Arabidopsis thaliana: one gene and its partner. The protein of the gene in region 1 interacts with the protein of each later gene in a pairwise test. Each region holds a gene or a part of one and is shown on either strand. Other genes may lie near its edges.

What was found. Proteins that work in one complex are often made in the same cells at the same time.
Region 2: the proteins of AT3G04840 (region 1) and NDL1 interact in a two-hybrid assay, tested with the Arabidopsis thaliana proteins (one large-scale study listed by BioGRID).

Annotation. Positions count from the first base shown.
Region 1 is NC_003074.8:1,327,789-1,332,161, forward strand, and holds AT3G04840 (Ribosomal protein S3Ae), read left to right. Parts: upstream 1-1,782; 5' UTR 1,783-1,962; coding exon 1,963-1,973; intron 1,974-2,069; coding exon 2,070-2,117; intron 2,118-2,250; coding exon 2,251-2,356; intron 2,357-2,595; coding exon 2,596-2,733; intron 2,734-2,842; coding exon 2,843-3,028; intron 3,029-3,244; coding exon 3,245-3,445; intron 3,446-3,531; coding exon 3,532-3,630; 3' UTR 3,631-3,854; downstream 3,855-4,373. Other genes in the region: AT3G04830 (Protein prenylyltransferase superfamily protein), read left to right, coding at 1-20, 105-190, 290-349, 477-558, 967-1,080, 1,171-1,344.
Region 2 is NC_003076.8:22,955,624-22,961,445, reverse strand, and holds NDL1 (N-MYC downregulated-like 1), read right to left. Parts: upstream 3,818-5,822; 5' UTR 3,461-3,817; coding exon 3,401-3,460; intron 2,938-3,400; exon of another isoform or gene 2,640-2,937; coding exon of another isoform or gene 2,637-2,639; intron 2,556-2,636; coding exon 2,456-2,555; intron 2,382-2,455; coding exon 2,284-2,381; intron 2,194-2,283; coding exon 2,105-2,193; intron 2,021-2,104; coding exon 1,960-2,020; intron 1,869-1,959; coding exon 1,704-1,868; intron 1,612-1,703; coding exon 1,555-1,611; intron 1,458-1,554; coding exon 1,402-1,457; intron 1,291-1,401; coding exon 1,155-1,290; intron 1,059-1,154; coding exon 840-1,058; 3' UTR 530-839; downstream 1-529. UniProt on the Arabidopsis thaliana protein: Interacts with the heterotrimeric G protein beta subunit GB1 and plays an significant role in GB1-dependent regulation of lateral root formation. Involved in a signaling pathway that modulates root auxin transport and auxin gradients.

The sequences.
Region 1 (4,373 bases):
AGGATAATCCACTTGATCAAGTAAGCTTCCGCATTTTTTCGTCATGAAACTACCCACAAGCTACTTCCAAATGTTAACTGTTGTAAGTCAAACTCGATGTCTAGGTAATTCACAAAAGAAAGGTGGCTATGGCCAAGGCACAAGGCAAATCTTCCTTAGCCATTGAACATCTGAACAAGTATCTTGAAGTGTGAGTACTTACTAACCCCAAGCTGGACTGATAGAAAGTACTTTAGAAGAAATATATCAAACAGCTGATAACTTTTATATGCTCTTCTTTCTTATATAGATTCATGGCTGATCATGATGCCTGGAGAGAACTTGCAGAAATTTATGTTTCCTTGCAAATGTGCGTCTCTCTATCCTCTGTCCTCAGATTCTATTTGACAAACAATTAACTACTCAACGATTAACAAATGTTTTTCATTTTGAGGGTGCTCTCTTTATAACCCCTTTAAATTTATAATCTGTAACAGGTACAAGCAAGCAGCTTTCTGCTACGAGGAGCTCATACTAACTCAGCCTACTCTTCCATTGTACCACTTAGCATATGCCGATGTAAGTCCCATCTTTTATTTATTTGTTAAAAAAAAGTAAAAATTGTTCTCTGGCTTTGTTAAAGAAAAAAGTCAAATTTTGGCCATCACCAAGGAGCATCAAAATGTCTTAGTTTGTTTAAGACAATGTATCTAGTATGCATCCTATAATCAATTTTGTTGTTCCTTATATCTTACACTGGAAGTTCATTGTCATTCATATGTCTATTAATGTAGTAGCAATAGAAGAGCGAGCTATTTTCTGGAACTTTGCATTATTTGCACTGCACATATCAAACTCAAAACTGAGAATTCTAAAAGTTTGGCAGTTTTTTTTTTATATAGTTCGAAACTCTAAACTACAGCATTGATCATGTATGATTGTGTAATTAACGTAATTTTCATTTTGCGTTGCAATCGCCAAAATCAGGTTCTCTACACAATAGGTGGACTAGAAAACCTCATCGCAGCAAGAAAGTACTATGCAGCAACTATAGACTTGACAGGTGGTAAAAGCACAAGAGCACTTCTCGGAATATGCTTGGTATGAACCCTTTCTTCCTCACACCAGTTTAATCCACTTTGGTTATGCAAGTGACAAAATGACCGATACATGTTCTGTTTTTGAAATCAGTGTGGATCAGCAATCGCACAGATCTCAAAAGGCAGGAACAAAGAGGACAAGGACATGGCTGCACCAGAGCTTCAGTCTTTGGCTGCAACTGCATTGGAGCGAGAGTACAAGCAAAAAGCTCCCGCTAAGCTCAACCTCCTCACTTCTGCCTTGAGAAACTTGAAAATCGCTTAGTTCAAAGCACTAGAGCCCAAACAATTTTTTGGTATTTTGGTATTGTTTAAACTTTTTTACAGTCAGACTTTTGTTCATTCCTTTTCTTTTACCCTTATAATTTTTTTCTTATTCACTTGGCTATATTGTTGAATCACTGATACGGTTTACTAAGGTGTGTTTAATCAAATAATAAATTAAACTAATTCAATCTAAACGTTAAACGTTAATAATAAATTTGTGAAGTTTTAGCAAATCATGCAATTTATCTAACAATTAAATAAATATCTATATTTTTCACTAATTCATAAAATACAACTTCTCATATCCTAAAATCATGTATGGTATTTGTTTTTTAATTTCTTTTCACATATATATAGTATGGTTTTATAATCGATTTCAGACTCAAGTGGAAAAAAGAAATATTGGACACCTTAGTGGGCCATTAGATGCAAGTAAATACAACTTTAGGCTTAGTCCATTACTGGTAAATTTGAAGGCCCAAAACTTTGTTTATCCTGGGTGTGAAACTCAAACCCTAGAAGAAGACTTTAAATTGAAGAAGCGCCGTAGCAGCATTTTAGGTTAAAACTTATTGTTGATTCTTCTCTATTCGTCGTCGACCTATTTTCCTCAGCCATGGCCGTCGGGTACTTTTCTCTCAGATTATTGTCCTCTCATTTCTACTATCTCTGATTCGTATCATTAAAGTATTTGTCACTGATCTATGAGTTTGTTTACTGTAGGAAAAACAAGAGAATCTCTAAGGGTAGGAAGGGAGGAAAGAAGAAGGCGTAAGTTTTTCTGAATCTTATTTCTCTTGTTTTCCTTAACAATGTGTATGAATTAGTGGCCATGTTGAAGTATGAGAATATGAATCTTATCATTTGTGATTGATTGGTTGTTTTTGAAAATTGAATGTTGCAGTGTTGATCCTTTCTCCAAGAAAGATTGGTATGATGTTAAGGCTCCTTCAATCTTCACTCACAGGAATGTTGGAAAGACACTTGTTTCCAGAACTCAGGGTACCAAAGTAATGTTTCTGTCTCTCTCTTTATTACAATACATCCTCAAATTACTTCGCTGCTTATACTCTTCGTAGGATTAAGCTGATTTGTCTGATTCTTATGGTTCTTGATTGATTGTTACAGTTGTGTATCTTGTGTTATAATGTTACTATTCATTTTCTTATACATGTTGAGTGTAAAATGTTGTATTGGTGCCATGTACGGACTTTGAGACTGATGATGATGTCTGTTCTTACTCTTCCAGATTGCCTCAGAAGGCTTGAAACACAGAGTTTTTGAGGTTTCTCTTGCTGATCTTCAAGGTGATGAGGATAACGCTTACAGGAAGATCCGTCTCAGAGCTGAAGATGTCCAGGGCAGGAACGTTCTGTGCCAATTCTGGGTAAGGATAGTTTGTTGTAAACATTGATTTACATCAGTAATTCTGGTCATTGGTTAAAAAACCCAGATTATGGTTGTGGAGCTTGACTGTTTTTTTTAATCATCTTTAGGGCATGGACTTCACCACCGATAAACTTAGGTCATTGGTTAAGAAGTGGCAGACTTTGATTGAGGCTCATGTTGATGTTAAAACCACCGACAGTTACACTCTCAGGCTATTCTGTATCGCCTTCACCAAGAGACGTGCTAACCAGGTCAAGAGGACTTGCTACGCTCAATCCAGCCAAATCCGTCAGGTACGCACACATTCCCCTGCAATACTTGTAGTTAGGCCTGACTACAGAACTTGATCTCTTTCTCTTATTACTGAATCCTACTTTTGCAATCTTTGATCTGTTATTTCTGTTGAGCTCAGATGGTTCCTTTTGTCAATGATTCTTAATCTTCCTTGTTTGATTTCTCTCAAATTGTAAGTCTTAAAAATTCACATGTCTTTGTTGTGAATTCCTCAGATCCGCAGGAAGATGAGGGACATCATGGTTAGGGAAGCTTCCTCATGTGACCTTAAGGATCTTGTTGCTAAGTTCATTCCTGAAGCTATTGGCAGGGAGATTGAGAAGGCAACTCAGGGCATCTACCCTCTTCAGAATGTTTTCATCCGTAAAGTCAAGATCCTCAAGGCCCCTAAATTCGACCTTGGCAAGCTCATGGATGTGAGTGAAGAAAATGAACACTACATTTATTATGGTTCAATATCCATGTTATATATAAACTGAATGCTTGTGTTTAATTGGTGTAGGTTCACGGAGATTACTCAGCAGAAGATGTTGGTGTTAAGGTAGACAGGCCGGCTGATGAGATGGCTGTTGAGGAACCTACTGAAATCATCGGAGCTTAAGAAATCGAGAGATGTCTTTTTCTTCTAAACTTTAGCTTTTTGATGCTCTGTCGTTTCACACACTCTTTTGTTCCCGGTTTAATTTTGCTGTATTGATGACTTTTCTCAGTGTAAACTTGCGAGTTTTTGATAATTTATGGAACACCTTTTCTCTAAATTTGATTCAGTTCCTCATTAAGAAAAACAAATTTCATAGGCCACAAAAAGTCTTTTTATGTACACTAAACTTTAGTTTATTTAATTGTGTTGCGTTATAAACACTTAAGCCATCTTTATAAACATTTTGTGAATTTACAAGCCCCAGTTAACACAGTTTAAACGATAAACTTCGTTCAAAACTAAGTTTTATTCAATCTTGGAAAAATGTATCAGACTTTATTCATTGTAGTTTCAATTGAATAATACATAACTTTTTCTAATGATTTTGTTAATAATACTCCTTTCCGTAATATCAAGAATCTGATTTGTGGAGTTTGTTTGAAAGAATGAGTTAGCAACCAAGAGAGAACAAAATCGGAGCAGAGGAAGGAGACAAACAACACCACTACAAAACTTTCTTCAGTGAAAAACAAACACTAAAACATTATAAACTAGCAGAGCAAAACAGGTAACACACATTCACACCCTAAGCAAAAATCTTCCAATACATATATTTGTAATATATACCCACCAAAACTAGACTTGGAAATAACAAGATGAAAGTGAGATTAAGGTAGATCAAACAAAACCCATTCGAGCAACAG
Region 2 (5,822 bases), on another chromosome or scaffold:
ATTCGCTTATAGAGAGGTGCTGAGGTAAGTGAGCTTTGTTGTATTTGTAATTTACAAAACATCTTACGATGTTCAATACAAGAAATGGCCTTAATTTGATGTTATTATTCAATCATTAGTTATCCAAGAGTTTATACACTTCTTCTACTTTGTATTCGGGTTTGGCTCGGATTTACACTTGTCTGCATCCATTTTACGGGCTTGACAAACATCGAGGAGCATTGAACTTGTTCAGACTAAGTGAAGCATTCTTCGCCTTTACCCCGGTTCATGAGGGACTATGTTTTCGTCAACCGCAACTAATCCTTATGCGTATCTTATATCAGTATATAACTTACGGCTTCTGCAAAGAAGGATTGGTCTCCATTTCCATTTACAATTCAATTCAGACTAAAAAGTTTCAATCTGATGATCCAAATAGTTCAGGATCAAGACTGTTAAACCATTAAATATCAATATTAAGCAAAAACCAGATTCTAACTTGGTGAAATCAATGTGCTTGTAAGGCCAATTAGAGAACCAAAAACAAAATGCAAAATGAATTTTATTACTTGCTTCTGCAGAGTTCGTCACAAAACAATTGTTACAATGTCACAAGAACAGAACATTTTACATATGTATAAAAAAATGAAATAATAAACAACATTTTGTGGCATCTTAACAAGAGAACTGTCGTGTCGGCTGACTACAAAAGAATGTGTTATATGATGGTGGCTTGAATTTTTCTTCTTCGTCTTCTTCTTCTCAAATCTCCCTAGTATTGTTCTATATCTACAAAAGCCCTAAGATTTCTTCTCCTCAGCAAAATTAGAACCAATGAATCAGTAGTGCACACACACTTAAGCCGCCGAAATTCTGGTTTTGATAGGCTTAAGCTTTAATCCCATGCTTTCAGGAGAGAGAAGCTCAGGTGAAATACAAGAAGGGCTAAGTGGACTTCTAGGGCTCTCGGAGAAAAGAGATGGTCTGTATAATCCGTAACCCATCAAGAAATATTCCATTGGGATCAACATTGCATGTGGTTGCTCCTCTGTTACCATTGAACCACAAGCCTGAACCTGATAATATTTCCAAGAAAACATCTATTAGTAGCAAGAAAACCAAACATGTGTTTATATGTAAAGTACAAAGGATGAGGATTCGTTTTCTCAAACCTCAACCAAAGCACAGTATCCTCTATCCAAAGTTGCTGCCATGTGAACAGCTTCTGAGTAGAAAGGAGATTGATCTCCGATGAAGATAAGTGTCCTGCATTTTAGTTTCTTCAATCCACTTGAGATGTCAGGTCTCCTGCAAGAGCAAAGGTTTGGTTTGCATAAAGTTAAAGAAAAGTCAATATTTGACACCATGAATGAATGAATGCTTCTAAGGTAAAGGATTTCGAGGTGTTTGTTGTGTTACCGGTCAATGGCGTCAAGAAATCGCAAAACGTTTATGCCTTGTCTTTCATCAAGCAGCTGAGACAATCACCAAAAGTGCAAGGTGTGAATCACTGATACAGTAAAATCAATCTATTGATGAAACAGAAAAACAACAGAAGAGATAAACACTGACTCTTCTGCAAGCTTGTGCTATATCTGACTCTGGAATCTCAACGTTACCACGGACTTCCTGTAGCAAGCAGTTGCAACCGGTTTAAATAAGAGAAGTCTGGAAATGCAACAAGTGCAGAGAGAGAGCAATGGTAACTGCAGTGAACACACCTTACTAAAATATCTCTGAAGCAAAAATTCCTTTACCACTCCACACATTCCGTAATAATATAACAAGTTTGTGATAACCTTGTTGTAAAACCATTCAGACCAAGACGGCGCCTTGCATAACGGTGAGACAAGAATCAAACCAAGAACCCGTTCTCTATGTTTCATCTGAAAAGTTTTAAAACATAGAAGAGATGATAAACACAGTATTCTTCTGAAGCAATGGGCAATGAGAAGAGAAAAATAAATAGGAACATACCGCGAATAAGGTGAGGATATAAGCACCTGCAGTCACTCCCATACACATCACAACACCAAGGCTGAACAAAAAGCTTATACATTGTTACCCGAAAAACAAAAGTTGAGAACTTCAATAAGCCAAAAATAAGGGATTCCATCGTTACCCGAAAAAGTTGAGAACTTCAAGGATCTGATCTGCCAAGTTTTCAGCAGAAGGGACTGAATCATTAGGACAAATTGGAGCAGCTCCTAACTGCAAGAAAACAGAGAAGTCATGTGAGTAAGTAATCACGTCAAGCAAAGCATACGGCAAGTTAAAAAAAGAGAAACTAAAATATTGGACCTCATGCCCAGGTGGACTGATATGGTAAATGCAGAAGTTATGAAGCAGCAATGAAGCTGCTTCAGGACAGAAGAATAACCCTTGGAAGCATGACATATCTGAAGAAGAAACAACAAAAACATTAATAAATTTAGCCATTACATTAGTGCCTATAGAGATTCTTTAGCCTTACGGTTTAGGGCTAAATCAGGATAAGTAATCAATGCTGGCTTTTCTCTGTCTCCATAGACAATGACAGACACAACACCACTAGCAGTTTTAACACGATGCTCCTGAACACAAGAAACCAACAAGTTATAACAAAAGTAACGGATCATGAAACCAACAGAAAAAAACTAAACTTTTAACCATACCATTTGTCTACTCCATATTCATAAAACATGTGTTTGTAAACAATGAATCTATTTTCTCGTTAGTAAATGTATACTAAAGATAGGAATATGACAACTGACTTTAGGTGGAAAAGAAATGCTTTGATTAACACACACACAAAAAAGAAAACATCTCTGTTAAAGCTTTTCCATGTGCAGCTTTACTACTTTTAAGGGCAAAAAAACAAAACCAAAAACTTGATCATCAACAACCAAAGAGAAATGGCCTAATTCTAATCATTGTGGTTTTTTTTTAATAAAAAGGGAATGACAGTTTAAAAAAGATGAGCTAATATGAGTCTTAATGAGATAATAAAGAAGCATTAGTCTTATTAAACAAAAGGTTAATGGTAGACAAAAACAGCTGGCATTTTCTTTTCTTTTTTCTATAAGATAAAAAAATCAAAAGGCAATAAGACAAAGAATAAGGAATACAAAATAATAATAAGAAGAAGATATCTTTGAATAGAGAGAAGAAGAAGATCCCAAGAATAATCCCATCTGGAAATGAATCATAATAATAAAAGAAGTTTCACAAATCCACAAGCAAAGAATTTCTCCAAGAACATTTGATTCAAACAAAAGATGAGTCTTTTTTTTACAAAAACAAATGAATCTAACAATGCCCACATGTCTGTTCTTCCCCAAATCAACAGAAAGATTAGATTTAAGCAAGTTTAAGATAAACCCAGAAACAAAAATCAAAGCTTTATTCGGATCCGAGTTCAAAGGTTAAAGAATGAAACCTTGCCACCAAGATAGATTGTTCCAACGTCGACGGAGACGGCGCCGTAAGAGTCCGTCATTGGCAACAAAAGCTCTTCCGCTTAGCCGTCACCGTCGCCGTCGTTGTTTTAAGAACGCCGGGATAACAAGAGCTTCTTCTCTTTTCTTCTTCTTCTTCTCCCAACCTCTAGATTGTTTTTTGGCTTTTCTTTAGCTTATATACAAAGCGATGCCTTTTCTCTCTCCTCTCTCTTAAGACCTCTCTGGAAAAAGAAACGTTTTTTTTTCGTTTTCCTTTTTTTCTTCTCTTTCGTTTTACTCTCTCTATAAATTTTGCGGTGATTTCTCCATAGACGCCGGTAGTCGTAACATGACACGCGAACGGTCAAAAAACTTAAAATAAGAAACATTTTTAATTTGATTTATTTATAGAAACTTATTTTTGATAAATATTATTAACCAGCTCGAATTTCACCAATAACAGTCGAATACTAATTCGGAAAAATTGCTGTAAATAAATTGGATAATTGTATAAATGTAAACAAATATTAAATGTTGATAATTGGATAAGTAAGGGAGGTGCGAAGTTTTGGTTAACAACAAAATTAACATTAAGCAAACCGAATATAAATTTTTAGAGACTGTTTAGTTTTATTATTAAAAAAAAAAAGAGAAACCAAATTTTCTAAAAATACTATTACATATAAAAAATTATTTTTATGTAATAATATTAAGAACATCAATATTTAATAAACAATTGTATATTTATACTATTCGCAATTTTTTCACTTTGAGTTGGAAAAAATATATCTTAGTAGAAAATTAGAAATGGACTAATCTTAAACCATCAGATAGGCTTTCAAACATATTCCTATCATAAGAAACATGATGAGTAACACCACTATCTATGATCCATGTATTTTGTGATAACACTTGTCTAGAGGACGTTAGAGAACATAGTAACCATAAAGTCGAAGGTGAGAAAGAGATATCATTGAAAGCAAAACTTTGAAGTGACCAAATCTGCTGAGTTAGCTGATAAGACCTTGGCAAATTCGTAATGTGAAATCTAGTATCCAAGTCTTTCCAGATCTCTGCAGCATCATTGAAACGAAGTATACTCTTATAGATCTGCTTTGTAACAGAATTAAGGATCCTAGATTTAACCATACTGTTGCATCGTGACCACACTCTAAAGCTAGGATCAGATTCAGGAGGTCTTGGTAAAGTTCCATCAACAAAAGCAATCTTATTCTTAACGTTCAAAGAAACAAACATCGCAATCTTCCAAGAAGAGAAATTAGATCCATCAAGTACCTCAGAAACAAGTGTATTCCCAGGACTCACCATTTGAGAGCGCGAATGGCGAATAATGAGCATCCGAGAAGTCGAACTGTGGTAAAGGATAGATCGATGGTTTTGAATTGAAATTTTGTTGAAACGGATTCGAAATTGGTGGAATCGGTGGAATCGGTGAAGCTTGAACACGATCTGGAGTTTTCTCAGCTGAAGTTTTGCTCGATCTTCTAGTACGACGCCGCAATTTCTCTACGGAAACCATCGCAAGATCAACGAAGCTCTAAACAACTGAAATTTTCCAGAAAACGTAGAAAATTGAAGAAACAAAGAATCAACGAGTTTGGAAGATCCAAGAGCTCGAAGATACTCAGAGTTTAGGTTGAATCGGATGAATCTTCGAGATCCATCACTCTGATACCATAATAGTTGATGAACGAATTCAGAGAAATGAAGAAGATGAGAAAAATTTGTTATTCTTCTTAATTGTTCTGTTACATGAAACACTCTTTATATGTAGAGTGTTCCGGTTTAGTAACCGGTTTACATTGTACCAAACAACAATACAATAACCGAATTTATGGTTAATATCTTAAGTTAGACCTATTTCAAAACAAGCCTAATTTTCACAATAGTCAATTTTTTGTTGTTGAATATTTGGCCGAGAACTAGACTTCAATAATGGGGAAGAATAACTAAAATCGGTTCTTTCTCCTCTCCCAAAGTCAACTAGATTCACCAAGAATAACTAACTTTGGTTAATGATTACATGTTCTTAAAGTTATGGATCTTTTGGGAAAAATGGACTATTTGGCAAAAAGAGTGGCAAAAAGAGTGTGAACATAAAAAATACAAATGGGGCGTTCCGAGAATCGAACTCGGGACCTCTCGCACCCAAAGCGAGAATCATACCACTAGACCAAACGCCCTCATTTGATATTTCGTTAATTAGATAAATAATACCTAATAATACAAACTTGAATTGGTCTTGCATTTGGGCCGTTAACAGGCCTTGCTAAGTCATATGTGGTGTGTATTTCTCCATCTGCTATTGATCTCAGTAAAAATTACATAAAGAGAGCCACAAGCTTACTGACTCTCTTGTGTATCGCTCTCTCCGCATTTCCATTAACCCTCCAATTTTCC